4 linked regions of the Arabidopsis thaliana genome follow. The protein of the gene in region 3 interacts with the protein of the main gene of each other region in a pairwise test. Each region holds a gene or a part of one and is shown on either strand. Other genes may lie near its edges. The genes, in order: BBX15, BBX29, bbx23 and SPL13B.

The links.
Region 1: the proteins of bbx23 (region 3) and BBX15 interact in a two-hybrid assay, tested with the Arabidopsis thaliana proteins (one large-scale study listed by BioGRID).
Region 2: the proteins of bbx23 (region 3) and BBX29 interact in a two-hybrid assay, tested with the Arabidopsis thaliana proteins (one large-scale study listed by BioGRID).
Region 4: the proteins of bbx23 (region 3) and SPL13B interact in a two-hybrid assay, tested with the Arabidopsis thaliana proteins (one large-scale study listed by BioGRID).

What each region holds. Positions count from the first base shown.
Region 1 is NC_003070.9:8,933,162-8,937,191, forward strand, and holds BBX15 (B-box type zinc finger protein with CCT domain-containing protein), read right to left. Parts: upstream 2,384-4,030; 5' UTR 2,124-2,383; coding exon 1,125-2,123; intron 1,033-1,124; coding exon 778-1,032; 3' UTR 555-777; downstream 1-554.
Region 2 is NC_003076.8:22,113,789-22,117,428, reverse strand, and holds BBX29 (B-box type zinc finger family protein), read left to right. Parts: upstream 1-1,889; 5' UTR 1,890-2,113; coding exon 2,114-2,608; intron 2,609-2,692; coding exon 2,693-2,845; 3' UTR 2,846-3,125; downstream 3,126-3,640.
Region 3 is NC_003075.7:6,368,316-6,371,655, forward strand, and holds bbx23 (B-box zinc finger family protein), read right to left. Parts: upstream 1,636-3,340; 5' UTR 1,212-1,635; coding exon 1,011-1,211; intron 940-1,010; coding exon 652-939; 3' UTR 514-651; downstream 1-513. Other genes in the region: ATHSP22.0 (HSP20-like chaperones superfamily protein), read left to right, coding at 2,222-2,809; AT4G10260 (pfkB-like carbohydrate kinase family protein), read right to left, coding at 3,171-3,305. UniProt on the Arabidopsis thaliana protein: Probable transcription factor that may be involved in seedling photomorphogenesis.
Region 4 is NC_003076.8:20,615,191-20,619,969, reverse strand, and holds SPL13B (Squamosa promoter-binding protein-like (SBP domain) transcription factor family protein), read left to right. Parts: upstream 1-1,906; 5' UTR 1,907-2,262; intron 2,263-2,431; exon of another isoform or gene 2,432-2,806; 5' UTR 2,807-2,836; coding exon 2,837-3,276; intron 3,277-3,347; coding exon 3,348-3,481; intron 3,482-3,567; coding exon 3,568-4,073; 3' UTR 4,074-4,266; downstream 4,267-4,779. Other genes in the region: SAE1B (SUMO activating enzyme 1B), read right to left, coding at 1-27, 132-248, 346-425, 510-705, 800-851, 1,046-1,128. UniProt on the Arabidopsis thaliana protein: Trans-acting factor that binds specifically to the consensus nucleotide sequence 5'-TNCGTACAA-3'.

The sequences.
Region 1 (4,030 bases), on a different chromosome or scaffold from region 3:
GAAATTTCGGCTTCCAACTTATTATCGGTTGGTACCAAGAAATTTCGTTCTTATGTTGGTATCAAACAAAACTTGTTTGAAATTATCCATCTTACCAATAATATCAAACACCACCAATATTAACATTTCTTATGTACCACAATTAATAATGGGTCGTTGATAACGATTTGATGATATTAACGCTTATAGATATTTGGTCCAATATACGCTTGTGTGGTAGTTAGTAGCCATTTTCATCTTTTAGCTAGAAATTAAGAAGAAATTGGACTATACAGAAAAAAATGCGACATCAATTGGCAATGACAATGACAATTCACGGAAAACTTGTTCATTCTGCATATTATAGTTTGCTGTCTAGCCATTTTTGTGTTTGAAATCCCGATTCTGATTCTTTTAGGATAATATAGTGTTACCAGATATCAAAAAGTTTTTCAAATAGTTTAAAACTATTTCTTATTTTTTAGAGTTCGTAAAGATGATCAATCGATTTTTTTTAAGAGAATCAGTTTTTTGTTCTTATGTTCGTTCCATGGTAAACATGTTTAAGATAGAGTAATTTAACAATCAAAATGCCTTTGCAGTTTGCACATTCTTATTACCAGATATATACATCAGTGCTATCAATACAAGTAAAAGTCACATTATTATTGGTTACTTCTATGTACATACAAGTCCTCAAAGCACAATTAAGTGCCAAAATAACTTCTGTTGTTTCAGAAGAAAAAAGATTCACCGAAATTTGTAAAGTGAGATATAACATGAATAGATATTAACTATTCAGTAATTAACACCTAATGGTGAAGCAGCAGCAGCGAGCGAGGCTCTCTTCACGAATCTTCCTTTCATTCGTGGTCTTTTCTCTGCATTCAATTTACGTACCTCGTACCGTATCTTCTTAGAAAACAACCTTGTCCTCCTCTTCTCTCTGTATCTCGAAACTCTAGCTTCTCTACCTCCATCTCCAAACCCACTTGATGGTAAACATCCACCAACGTATTGCTTCTGATGAGTACTTTCTCCTCCATTCTCCACCTAAAACATATTATTTCAACTTTTAGAAATTTGAGAACAGTAAACTCACTTTTATTTGAATTCTATAAGAATGAGGATTTTAAATAACGTACCATGGAAAAGGCTGGCCAACCGCTGATGTCCATGTCTCGTTCCGGTGGCTCTCCTGAACTCCACGGTGGACCTTGACCTCCCCAAGTGGATATCACCGAGTCATAGTTTAATCTTAGCATCAGAACATTCTTATGTTCTTCCTCTTTCACCTTAACAACACATTCACCACTACTTTCAACGTTCTTCATTACCTCTTCTTCGGACGTCTTGTGTGACGACTCGTAATCAAAGCTTAGCTCAAACGGTACTGTTCCATCCACGTCTTTTCGATCATCATCAAATATATCCATGCTCATGGCTTTTATCTCTTCTACTTCTTCTTCAATCTCATCTTTTTCGATTTTGAACATCTCTGAATTAGATAACCCTAGCTCCTCCATGGCATACGACTCCGTGTCTAACCCGCGACCGAGCAGAGTCTCCACGTCAGCAGCAAACTCCTCAAGCTCCATGTCGGTCGGGAAAAATCCATTAAGACAACTTTCAGCGTTGTCTTCCTCCTCCTCGATCATCAAACCACTTCTGATCATAGGAAACTCGATCTTGGGCTCAACGACATCGTTCAAGAACTGCTCAGACACCAACGGATCTAGAACCGGCACTTGACAGATCAGCTGCTCTTCAAGCTCATAGTTGTCTGTCTGATCCTCAATACTAATATCAGGAACCAAGTCATGAAATATCGACGAATTGTTTTTCTTACCAGAGCCACGTGGCGTTCGAGCTTTACGAGTAAACCCGTGATGCCACGTGGCGACCTCATGTGGAGGAGAAGCTGATGAGTGGTTGCTATGCTTTACGACCGCCGGGCTAGCCGTCTTCAAACGGACTCTCTCGTGGCGGCGAGCAAGAGGGTTTGCTGAATGGACCAAACTGTCGCAAGACTGGCAAAGAAAAGCATCGTCGGCCGCGCAGTACCACCGTGCACGTCTCTTCACGCAGCTGTCGCAAGCCCTCGCCGTCTTCGCTCCAACAGCATTCGCCAAACTTTTCATCATTGTATACAAAGTCTACACAACCAACATCAACGACAAGAGCACGAGAGCTTTGGTTTTGAGATCAATCTCAATTATTGAATCTTTTGCTCTCTGCAAAAAGTTAGATTTAGTGTAGTCCTAGAGAGTTTGAGATTAAGAGGATGACCCGCATGAAGCGCATTCCCTTTTGTGTCAGTGGATTTTTGAAGTTATAAGAAAAATTATGTACTTTTTGGGTGTTTATGTCTTCAGTTAGGGACCCATGACGAGGCCTTATCTGATTTGTGATTGGTTGAGTTCTGAAGATGATCTTCGTAATAGTGTTTTAATTGGTCAGCTTCTTTATCCATTGGATTTCTTGTGTGGTCTACCTTGTCGTTTTCCTTGCCCAATCACTCTTTTTTTTTTTTCAATATTCAAGACTTTTTGTGATTTTTGTTATTTCTTTTTTCCTTTTTTTAGTAGCAAAGGTTTCAGCTTTGACATTTTTTCCTTTTCTTCCACCATTTTTTTAGAGACTATATAATAACTACTAACTTTGACTATGGATAAAATAATTTTTTTAGCTAAATAGTTTTTCTCCAATTTTGGTAATACTTATCAACAAACATTGATTCACTTTTTAGAAATCTGAGAAATATCTTAGCAAAAAGCATTGATTCAATTTTTTGAAGTTTGAAGTTGAAGGAAGATTTGATTGGATAGAAGTTTTTAAGCTACAATGGTTGATTATTTGATTAAACAAATAAATTTAAGAAAATGAATGTGGAGATTTATCATAAATGATAAATTGGTACAATATTTATTATTAATTATTCTTATTTTGGTGCACCATGTGTTGCCAGGTTCATTTATCTATTGGTTAGTCTTGTCCAATAGAAAATATTATTATCAACACAGAGTTAATTATAGCTATCAATATAAAATCATAATAAAGACTACTCATGTGATATGAACTATTACCTAGACAAAAGTGATATCCTCATTTGGAGAAAGGCGATATTGTACCCAAGAGAAATATGGTAAGACAAAAGGTAAGTTTTATTTAGTAAATAACCTTAAAAATGCGTAATTTGTAATTTTATTTTCATCAAAGATAATAGTTTCACGGGTGATATTAACATGTATTCATTTTTAGTAACATGTTTTATTCATAATGTCGCATTATTACAATTCAATCACATATGTTATCATCATGTCAACTATACCCACTAATTACTGGTTAGCATAAGGAAAAAAGCAATTAGTAAGCATAACTTTATTGGTAACATGATTAATAAGATATTTCATGAAAACAAAATTACATTTGTTTAGGGTTATAACCTAAGTATATGATTAGAATTATAAATTTGCATTCACATTCCATCCAATCTACTTATGTTATTGATATATAGATGTACATTTGATGCACACAATTAAATGTAGGAAGCCTCATTATCATAAGAAGAACGAGCAGCCACTATTACTAGGATTTTAAAATCGAAAACATAATACTATATTTAAATGACAATATTTCCTATTTCAATAGCAAAGTGAAATAAAAAAAAAAACTCAAATGGAGTTAATACCACTAAACTACGATTAATTAATGACTATGGATCCACTAATATTGAAGGCTAATCAGTTTGGTTACAAAGTATAACATTAATTCTCACATATTATTTTACATGAACAAGTAATTTTTTGGATTGTATTTCTGTAGAAAAAAAAAGAAAAAAGTGAAGAACATGTTGTTTATTAGAGATGAGGGAGGACTGATCGAGTTACGTAAGAGGCCTTTATCACTGGGCTAAATAATGTGTCGGCTCAAAACTCAAATATATATGGGCCGATATAATTAATAAAATTCTGCAAACGAACTTTACTTTATAAATTTTAATACAAGCCCCATAATTCGAGCCCACGAATCCCTACAAATTCTTACGGAA
Region 2 (3,640 bases), on a different chromosome or scaffold from region 3:
AATAAAATGATGCACCTCTCATAGAGTCATCGGTATCCCTGATAAAAAGAATCAAACGTGGAATGGTCCGAATGAATAAAATCTTAGTGTACATATATATAAATCATATAATTTGATAGAATTTATGTTGAAAATGTAAATAATATGTATTTTTATCAACAAAAAAATTTAAAATTATTATAATTGGGTTGATCACCCATACTGAACAAATTTAACAATTTCTATTGTAAATTTGTAATCCACTTCTCTTTTTAATAAATCTTTAAAGAAACTTGCAAAAGAAAACATAAATGGAAAAGAACTAACAAAAAATAAGGAGTAATTCGTAAGATAGATGTGTATTGATTCGAGGCTTCTTCTAAGTTGTTCTAAAGTTGTCATCCACAAACATTTAAAAGTAAAAAAACAAAAAACCATAAAACTCAAAACACCTCCACTCATCAGCGCTTTTTTAATGCATGTGGCTCTCAAATGAAGACATCTCGTGTTCCTTTGATTCTTCACAATTCACACTTCACCCTTTACACCACTAATCTTCGCCACGTAAAAATTTCTCAAGCATGTTACGTAGGCCCAACTTTACCATTTTTTTTGTTCTTATATATATTTTACGTATTATTTGTTATCCTAAAATGACTTTCAATCCATCTTTGCTAGTCTTAATCTCGATTTCGTGATACAAATTAATTCCTTTGATCAAATGAATACAAATAATCAAATTAATTCATCTTTGATCATAGATGAATTAGTTTGTTCTATGGATCAAAACCACAGATCAAACTCTATCATACAAAAATCGTTGTGATTTTCTTTTAAAAACTCACAACTGTAAACATTTGAAATGACAAAAAATATTTGTCTAACTACAAGCTTCTTAGCTATCTATCTATCCTGTTTTTTAGATAAAAATTCGTAATACCTTTCATTTTTTTAATCCAGGTTTAATAATTTTTCAAATATATATTCTATATTCTTTTTAATTACCATTAGCAAATAACAAGTAATATATCGAATTGCCAATGATGTGAAGTAAAAATGTAAAATTAGTGGTTGGATTTATTTATTTATTTTTATTTAGAGAAAAAGACATTTAACTCGAATTATGTAAAATATGGAACGCTAAAAGTGGTTGATAAAATCATAAAATTAGGTTCTTCTCCTAGTAACCATGTTGATTCATGGACACCAAAATTTCCGAACCCAAAATGCGATATTAAAAATCCGATCATCATTATTATCCTACCGTAATACCAACGATATAAATGATATTTAATTCACTTTTCATTTTCGAAAACAAAACGCTTGGACCGGAACGAGAGAGGAATACTGAAAAAAGTAAAAAATGAAAGAAAAAAGAGTGGACCCATTAGACGTGTATTGAGGACCAGACAAATCCCAGGTGCGGATCACGTGGTTCTAAGTCTATTACAGAACCTGATTCGTCCACGTAGGATAACTCAGAATCTTCCCTCTCCTCTATACGAGGCTAATATCTCGCCACGTCATTAACTAAAAATCTAACCGCATAAAAATATCTGATGAAACATAAAACGAATAATATCTCGACACGTAAGACTTCGCCCATAGGAGAGCCTTGTCCCAGTACATGGTTTCAGGACCAAGTAAATAACAACATTTCCTTTAATTTTTATTATTATTATCATCTCTCCTAAATTTAAGAATTCGAGAATAATACTCAGCCGCGGAAACCTTAATCAATTTCAAACACAGATTTAGAACTACTAATACAAAATTATCCACAAATTATCCACCATAAAAATTAAAGTTTGAACGAATCCTTTAATCTTATTCTAATTTAAAATTAGGAAGCTTCTTTGCATTTCATTAAAAAATTACGTGAAAAATCGTTTCGTTAATATCAAAAAGACGACAATATCCTCGAAAAGAATTAAATCACATAAAAGTCGCCACGAAATTCTCATTTTACAATTCTCTATTACGCTGTCTCTTATTCGTGTCCGCAGAAGAAACGAGAGAAGAGAGAGAAGCAAAAGACCTTACCAAGAATATTTATAACACACAAACATCTAGAGACAGAGATAGACATAGAGAGAGAGCTTGTGGTTGTGGTTGTGCGAGATAATATCTAGAGATGGGGAAGAAGAAGTGCGAGTTATGTTGTGGTGTAGCGAGAATGTATTGTGAGTCAGATCAAGCGAGTTTATGTTGGGATTGTGACGGTAAAGTTCACGGAGCTAATTTTCTGGTGGCGAAACACATGCGTTGTCTTCTATGTAGCGCGTGTCAGTCACACACGCCTTGGAAAGCTTCTGGGCTGAATCTTGGCCCAACTGTTTCTATCTGTGAGTCTTGTTTAGCTCGTAAGAAGAATAACAACAGCTCCCTCGCCGGGAGGGATCAGAATCTTAACCAAGAAGAAGAGATCATTGGTTGTAACGACGGAGCTGAGTCTTATGATGAGGAAAGCGATGAGGATGAAGAAGAAGAAGAAGTGGAGAATCAGGTTGTTCCGGCTGCGGTGGAGCAAGAACTTCCGGTGGTGAGTTCGTCGTCTTCGGTTAGTAGTGGTGAAGGAGATCAGGTGGTGAAAAGGACGAGACTTGATTTGGATCTTAACCTCTCCGATGTATGAATATGAATCTTTTTCTTTATCTTCTTTTATTATTAGGAAATGATTAAGAAATCTGAAACAATTCTTTTTGAAATGCAGGAGGAGAACCAATCTAGACCATTGAAAAGATTATCGAGAGACGAAGGTTTGTCAAGATCAACTGTTGTGATGAATAGCTCAATCGTGAAATTACACGGAGGGAGGAGAAAAGCAGAGGGATGTGATACATCATCGTCGTCTTCGTTTTATTGAAATCGCCAAGGAAAGTAGAGATTGTAGCCGTTGATGATTCTTTTGTTTGGTTGATTAGATTAATCCTCATCGTTCATTTACTAACAACAATACTTTTAGTGAGTTGAGTTAGTTTAAAAACATTTCAATATAATGATTTTTTTTTGTGTTTTTTTTTCTGTGTTACCTAGAATATATATGTTCATATGTCTAGTATAAAATCATATAACATAAAAAATAAAATGAAGCAAAGTTGTTCAGAAAATGATTAAGAAAATGAAGCTGTTTTCTATTTATTTATTTTTTAACGAAAATGATTAAGAAAATTAATTAGTGAAACAAGAGATATTATTATAAATTTATAACGTGAGAAGGATTACCAGCCAAAACCAAAATTTATTATGATGTCAATTTTATTTGCCTTCCCAGAACTAGAAGTGTCTGTGTCATTGTGATGTTACAACTGAAGAGTACATAACGTATGAATGTCCGTTAGCTTTGTAAATTGTAACTACGACCACTAAAAAGAATCAAACAAAAAAGTTGTCAAGACTTAGAAAAAAGAAGATATTTAGTACCATGGGGTCCTCCTTTAAAGTTTTTTTAAAAAAAATTTATTTGTCAAACGCTTTGAACCCATCGTGTCTTTTGTATCTAAACCGTGTTCGAAGCTCCAAAAAAATAAAAAATGATGCTCTCATGATTTATATGTAACTAAATAAATTGGTTTTATTTCTAATTTTGAATCTATTTGTTTTGTGAGAAATGAGAAGATCCAAGTTTTTGGTTTCTTGATCGTATATGATAAATACAGTA
Region 3 (3,340 bases):
GACGGTACCGGAGCCGCGTCATGGAGAAAGTTTCTACAAGCCTTTTTGGTTTGCTAGTGGGATAAATTTTTGGTCGACCAGGAGAACAAAGTTTTGGTGTGTCGTGGTAAGCATGGGGTCTCCAACGTTTTTTTACACGTTGTGGGAGAAGATAAATGTATACAATTGGATCATGATGAGGAAGAATCTCAATGGTCACTTCTTAATCAGTTATGTTCCAACGTTGGTTCAAATCCAACAAGGTCTATAGTTCTTGTAGTGAGGCAAAAAGAAAGTACAAGAGCTAATAGTAGTAATCTATGACTGTCTCATTAAGTTATGCATTTTCTATCCAAGTCTTGATATTTGAGATAAATAATTATATTTAATCAATAATTATTTATTCATTTTTTAAATTTTGTTTATATATCTAAGATCGATTCAAATAGTATTCACATTTCTACAATTCTTGAAACTATTGGAACAACTTAGCTTTGGTTGTGTCGATGCCATGACCACTGACTTTAGTTGTTAAGTCATGGTTTTAATATTTGTTGTAACAAAAAGATTTGATTCCTCAACAAGTTTTTCTTCTGTGTAAGATAATATATTACAGAAACTTTTATTATTAAACATCAATGGCTCCGGAACCATGATGTTGTGTGTATATCTCTAAGGACTTAAGATTACAGAAGGATTCTTGTGTACTATCTCACCTGAGTTTCCAGCTTCAGTTTCCTCACTAGAGTACTGACTATTCAGAGACACTTTTGACTGAATCTGGTAAGTTTCAGAGCTAAAACTAGTGCTGCATTCGGAGTTTTCAGTCAAAGACTGATCAGAAACTTGTACTCCAGAAAGTAAGAATCTTTGGTGAGAATTGCAAGTGTGAATGGCTTCATCACAATCATTGCACAGCATTGCTCTATCCTCTAAGCAGAAGAAGTACCCTTTTCTCTCCTGCATATACATATATATGAGACATCGGTTAAAGAGCTCAGCGAGTGTTTAAAGAGAAAAGAGATTGGAACCTGGCAGATATCACATAGAGGAGCTCCAGAAGCTGTGGTGGCTGAGGCTGCATCTTTTTGTAAGGCGACTCGGTGATGTCTTTGGAAAAGTTTATTAGCTTCATGAACCTTAATGTCACATGGCTTGCATAGTACAGCTTCATCTGAACAACAAAGTACTTCTGCTTCAGCCTTTTCACACACTTCACATTGTATCTTCATCCTTCAACTTTATAATCCAAATCAATGTAAATTGCCAATACACAGACAGAACAAATGTTCTTTGACATTTATGAGAATTAGGACAAGGAGTGAATCTAAATATAGGAAACAAGAAAGAACAAGCTTAAATAAGTTCACATGTGTGGTGGGATCATAAGTTATATCAAAACCTGGCTCTGATACCAAGAGGAATTGATGATCTTTATTCATGAAAAGAGAGAACTATATATAGATATACAACGATATGTCGAAGACGAAATTTTTATCTCAATATGGGGTTATTAGACCAACTTTGGGTGGCATTTAAACCAATAAATGTTCTCCTACCAAAATCTCCATGACAAGATCTTTTTCAGAAGCTTGTATAGTTTTACTTTCTTTTGAAAACATAAATTGACAAACATAGCGACAAGCTTCTCTTAAGACACAAGCATGGCAAGCCAAAAGTAAAGGCAGGACCACAATATGCATAAAGACTGTGGAATTAAAAGTAACTAGCCATAGGGCAATAGAGGTCAAAAACTCTAAAATGTTGTCAGAAACTGAAATGGAGCATGGCATCATTCAAACTCTCTCCCATTCCTTTCCCATGCAGCAGCCAAAATTCTAAGACTCATCACAAACAGAATTGGTCCCAAATATCATAATGGGCCAATAAAAATAGGCCTGGATATAAATAACTATTAAGGCCCAATCCAATCCATAGTTTTTACATGAAGTCTCTGGAACATGAGAGAAGACCCTTAAAGGCACAACAAACTTATCCAACGTGTAGTAACATAATTAGTACAAGTCACAGCCAAAAAAGCTAGAACAATCTCAATATCTCTCTCTGCAAAACTCTACCAAAAGAAAGATATTTCAAGAAACTTCTTCATTCTTCATACAATGTGTATTATATATACACCAGAGAATTGAGACTAACCATCATAGAAAACAAAATAAGAAAGTGAAGTTAAAAGCCTAAAATTTTGGTTTCAACCTTCTACAATAAATCCAAATCACTAACCATGATGAAGCACTTGCTAAGCATCTTCTTCATAGGAGCTTTGTTGCTTGGAAACATCAAAACAAGTGAAGGGTCTTTGTCTTCTGCACTTGAAACTACTCCAGGCAGCTTGCTATCCGATCTCTGGCTAGACCGGTTCCCTGATCCATTCAAGATCTTGGAGAGAATCCCATTAGGACTCGAGAGGGACACAAGCGTGGCTCTGTCTCCAGCAAGAGTAGACTGGAAAGAAACAGCAGAAGGGCATGAGATAATGCTCGATATCCCCGGTTTGAAGAAGGATGAAGTAAAGATAGAAGTGGAGGAGAACGGAGTTTTACGAGTCAGTGGAGAGAGGAAAAGAGAAGAAGAGAAGAAAGGAGATCAATGGCATAGAGTGGAGAGATCATATGGAAAATTCTGGAGACAGTTCAAGCTACCTGATAATGTAGATATGGAATCAGTCAAGGCCAAGCTTGAGAATGGTGTGCTCACTATTAACCTCACGAAACTATCTCCTGAAAAAGTTAAGGGTCCAAGAGTTGTTAACATTGCAGCTGAAGAAGACCAAACTGCAAAAATCAGCTCTTCTGAATCCAAAGAACTCTGATATTGAAGAAACTATATATTACTTTCTGAGTCTGAAGAGAGTTATTATAAATCCAAGAGTTTTGAGTTTCATATTGTGTAAGCTAAATGGAGTGTCATGTTTTGTAACCTATCTACCAAAATCTCTGTAACCTTCTCTATATGCAATAAAATGTTCATTTCTTTATATTATAGAGCCTCTTGATTATTTGTTATAGAACATTAGTCATGTAATTAAAAATCAAGGTATATGAATTAGTTTGGAATCAATTTTGGCAGAAACTTGAAACTAGATTTATTCAGATAACAGAGAAAATACTCTGTGAAAACCAAGGAAATTGACAAGAGTGAAGAAACAGAAACAGAACAGAACAAGATTGAAACTATTTAGACTTAGATTTCATGAGCTTTTGAGCATCAGCTGGAGTGGGAAGTGCAGGAATAGCTCCTTTCTGAGTAGTACACACTGCTCCACATGCATTTGCAAAGGCAAGTGCTTCCTTCAGCTTCCCTTCATCCTGCAACATTCACATTACTCAATCACCAAAACTCA
Region 4 (4,779 bases), on a different chromosome or scaffold from region 3:
ACATTCCACTGTTTCATCAAGCTTTTTCTATGAAGCCAAAATTGACAATAGAGAAAGAAAGTTAACACATTATATGCCAAAAGAAAGGCATGTGATATACAACCGTCAAAAGAAAAAAACGAGATGAGTACCTTTGTGTACTTATAATTCTGAAGGTCGACAAATATTTCGCCACATGAGCCTCTACAATCAACTGTATAGAACGCTACATCTTTTGCTAGGTTCCTACACTTTTCATTAACTGCTTTCTGCATAACAAAGCACATTATTTCAAGTGATCAATCTACATGGCAACAAAAGACAAAAACAACTGGAACAACTAAAAGAAGGAGGTATCAACAGTACCTTAGTAGCACGAGAACTGTAGCCGATAACCACAACATCAAACTTCTCGAAAAAATCAACACCAAGTGTTGACAAATCACCTGAAATTGAAGACATAGACTCGATGTTACTAAAATCATTTGTTTCTACTAAAATTAGAGAGAAATGAAGAAAGGAGGAGTAACCTTTCTCTATTGAAACATGAACCATAGGGTTAAAATCCTTAAGTGAATCACAACAAATCTCAGCTACGGTTTTGCCTACATAAGCATTTTCATCAGGAAGAATCAAGAAGTTTGCGTTGAAGACTTCCGTTGTAACCAATCGATCATCCAACAGAGTCACACTACCTACTCCTGCCAACACAATGTTCTTACAAAACTGCAACACCAAATGGAGGAAACCAAGTAAGATGCCAACACTCACTCTACTGCAACATAGCTAATAGAGAGTCACAAAATAAAGTAAGAGGTACCTCAGCAACAGTGCCCTTAATTCCAGATACCAAAACATGAGATTTACTCAATCTGCAAGCAAAAACACAAAACAAAATTCAGAGAAGCCCTAATCAAAATTTCAACAGCTAAATTAGCTTAAAACCCAGAAAGAGATAAACTTTCACCGAGTATAGCCCAACAAGAAGAGTTTATTAGTACTCAAACGGAAAATCAATAACTTGTTGTTGCTTGAAGCCATAGAAGTTAGATTCAATGTGAAGTACCTTCTTTGAGCACCAGCTCCCCATACCCTAATTTGACGGTCATAAAGAGCAGTTTCCTGCTCGGTGAGCTCATCTCCGTCCATTCTCGTAGTGAAACCCTAGAACCGACCTCGAAGAGATGATCAAACCCGTCACGAATCTACTACAAGAGGTTTTCGGTGACTCACTCACTGAGTTTGAGATTTTTTGTTAACCGGAAAATTGCTTTCTTTTTATTTATTCAAATTACATGGTTTGTTTTGGTTTGGTCCGGTTCGTCAACTACAAATTTTTAAATTCAAAACAACTGTGCATTCAATAAATAACCAATTTGTTATTTTTTAGGACAATTTATGGGCCGAAACAAATGAAACATGGGCTTTGGACCCCAAATCTTTTAAATCCATCTGCAAAACTTTTAAAGACATGGAAGACTTTTATACGATTCTCCCTGATAATTGACAACTTGTGTGACCCGTAACTATGAAAGTCAAAGAAAATAACGCGTATCGGTGGAAAGAGAGAAGAAAAAAAACAGAAGAAGATGTTGTGTAATGCGAAGCACAACATTCACATGCTATGTTTTTTGCCGTAAACAACTAAGCATCCTATACCTCTTTCTTTAGTATCACTTTCCAATTTATTGTTTCATTTTCATCATCATCATAGTTATAAAAAAGAAAAAACCACATCTATTTTATATCACAATTTGAAAACTAATATATTTTGGATAAGGGTCAGTAAAAAGATACAAGATTTATGAGTAATTTGAAATTTTCAAAAGTATACTCTGTTCATTCATAAAAATCGGATGCTCAGAGTTCAGAATTGATGAATGGCAGAGAAAAATATAAACAAAGAAAAGTTGAAAAAGTAAGCAAAAGAACAATCAACAACAGCTGTCACTTTCCTCCATTCTTTTCTTCACTTTTTCTTACTCAAAGTTTTTAAAAAATGATATCAATAAAACCCTAAATCAGGAAAGTAAAGTTACAATTAAAGTAAGTAAATCATTTCTTAACTTAGTAATAGCTATTATCATCAATTTCTCTCTCTCTTTCCTCTTTCTCTTATTTGCATTATTGAAGTAGCAGCCACACTTGTTGTCTCCACTTTCTCTTGCTAAACTCCATCATCTTCTCTTTCTTTTTTTTCACTTGTCCCATTTTTTTATATTTTCATCTTTCTCTTTTGGAGTTTCTTCTTCTACTGACTCTACTGGTAGGTGTATGGATTTGGTAAGATTTCTCAACCTTCAAACAACAAACTTTTCTTATTCTATAGTTTTTTTTAATGTAATAACATGTTTATAATCTTACTTTAATCTTTCATTTTTATTGCATTTTTTTAATTCTTGCTTGGAATTGAGTAGACAGAAAAAAAGTTTTTTGTTTTTTTTTTTGTTTTCCTTTCTTCCCATTTTGTGGGATCTGTTCTAGTTTCTATGTTTCTGCACTTCTCATTTCGTTTTTTCAGTACAATTAGTTTGCCTTTTTTGGGATTTTTTTTTTGTTTTTTTTTCAATATCAAAATAGATCATTTTGTTAGAGCTTCAACTACAATTTCAGAGTACTCTTTATAATTGTGTTTTTGCTTTTTGCTTATGCTTTTTTATTTTCCTTCATATGTATTGAAGTTGAAGTTTAATTGAGTTAAAGATTCATGGGTTTTATGTTTACTAGTTGTTTTTGCTGTTTGTTCTTAAATTTAGAGTACCAATATCAAAAAGGACAAATCTTGATATTGCTTTGATTGCTGTTGTGTATGTATGTGTTTTTATAGTGAGAGAAGAAAAAAAAGCACAATCTTTGAATGGACTGGAATTTCAAACTTAGCTCTGGTTATTTATCTGGATTCGATCAAGAACCAGATTTATCACCAATGGATGGTTCGATCTCGTTTGGTGGGTCGTCACAGTCAAAAGCGGATTTTTCATTTGATCTAAAACTTGGAAGAAACATTGGAAACTCTTCCTCTGTTTTTGGTGATACAGAGCAAGTGATTAGTCTTAGTAAGTGGAAAGATAGTGCTTTAGCTAAACCAGAAGGTTCAAGAAGCTCGAGTTCAAAGAGAACAAGAGGGAATGGTGTTGGAACCAACCAGATGCCGATTTGTCTTGTTGATGGATGTGATTCTGATTTTAGTAATTGTAGAGAGTATCATAAGAGACATAAAGTTTGTGATGTTCATTCAAAAACTCCTGTGGTTACTATTAATGGTCATAAACAGAGGTTTTGTCAACAATGCAGCAGGTAAGATTGTGTGTTAATGGTTTAAGCTTCTTGTTGGGTTGGTGAAGATGTTAACATTTGTGTCTAATTAGGTTTCATGCTTTGGAGGAGTTTGATGAAGGGAAGAGAAGTTGTAGGAAACGTCTTGATGGACATAATCGAAGACGACGGAAGCCGCAGCCTGAACATATCGGTCGTCCTGCCAACTTCTTTACGGGTTTTCAAGGTTTCTGTTTTAAGAAAAGTTAGTTAGTTTCTTGAATCCAATAGACCGTTCCTTGTTGATGAAGAAGCATTGTTTTATGTTTTCAGGTAGCAAATTGCTAGAGTTTTCTGGTGGTTCACATGTGTTTCCAACTACATCTGTGTTGAACCCGAGCTGGGGAAATAGTCTTGTAAGCGTTGCTGTAGCCGCCAATGGTTCGAGTTATGGGCAGAGCCAGAGCTATGTTGTTGGTTCTTCTCCTGCAAAGACAGGGATAATGTTTCCAATCTCTTCTTCTCCAAACAGTACCAGAAGCATAGCAAAACAATTCCCTTTCTTGCAAGAAGAAGAAAGCTCGAGAACCGCATCGTTGTGTGAGAGAATGACGAGTTGCATCCATGACTCTGATTGTGCTCTCTCTCTTCTGTCATCCTCCTCGTCGTCAGTCCCTCATTTGCTTCAACCACCACTTTCTTTGTCCCAAGAAGCAGTTGAGACAGTTTTTTACGGGTCGGGATTGTTTGAGAATGCGAGTGCAGTCTCTGATGGATCGGTTATATCCGGTAACGAGGCTGTCCGTCTTCCGCAGACATTCCCGTTTCATTGGGAGTAGTAGAAGAAGAAGTAGGTAGATAGATAGAATCAGAAAGATCTATTTGTGTCTCTTCTCTTCTCCCTCATTTTTCAATGTTCTTTATCATCATCATTGTTCTTGTTAACACTACAAGAAATATGGACATTCTTAACACACCGAAAACGCTATAATAACGTTTACATAGCGGATTCATAAACGCTGTGTTTGCCGGAGCTATCTTAGAGTGGTCACATACAATAGCGTTTCTTGCTATGCTATTAAATGTTCACATATTATGGCGTAAAAGAAATGCTTTGATTTCCTTTGTTATTGCACAATTTTGATGTTATACTTTTGTAACTCTTTTTAAGGGCTATAAACTATTATTTTGTAGCTATATTTTATAGGCTATGATCTGATATGTTGTAGCTTTATTTTTTTGGCTATAAATCTATAAACAGCCTATAAGTTTGGGACATTTTGTTACACATTTGCAAGAAACCTCTTTTTGATCAAATTCAATATATATAAAATCTCCATACAAGTCTCAATCCAAGTCTTAACTAACATTACAATAACAAATGCCACAAGTAAAATGATATCACATCTTCTTTCTAACCTTGACTCGCTTCTCCAATTCTTCTCATAATCTTGTACAGTCTTCTTCTTCTCTCCAATCAAACTTCAAACTCGAATAGTGTAAAAATGAGTACTTGAGCAGATCTTACATGAAACTTAGAATTAA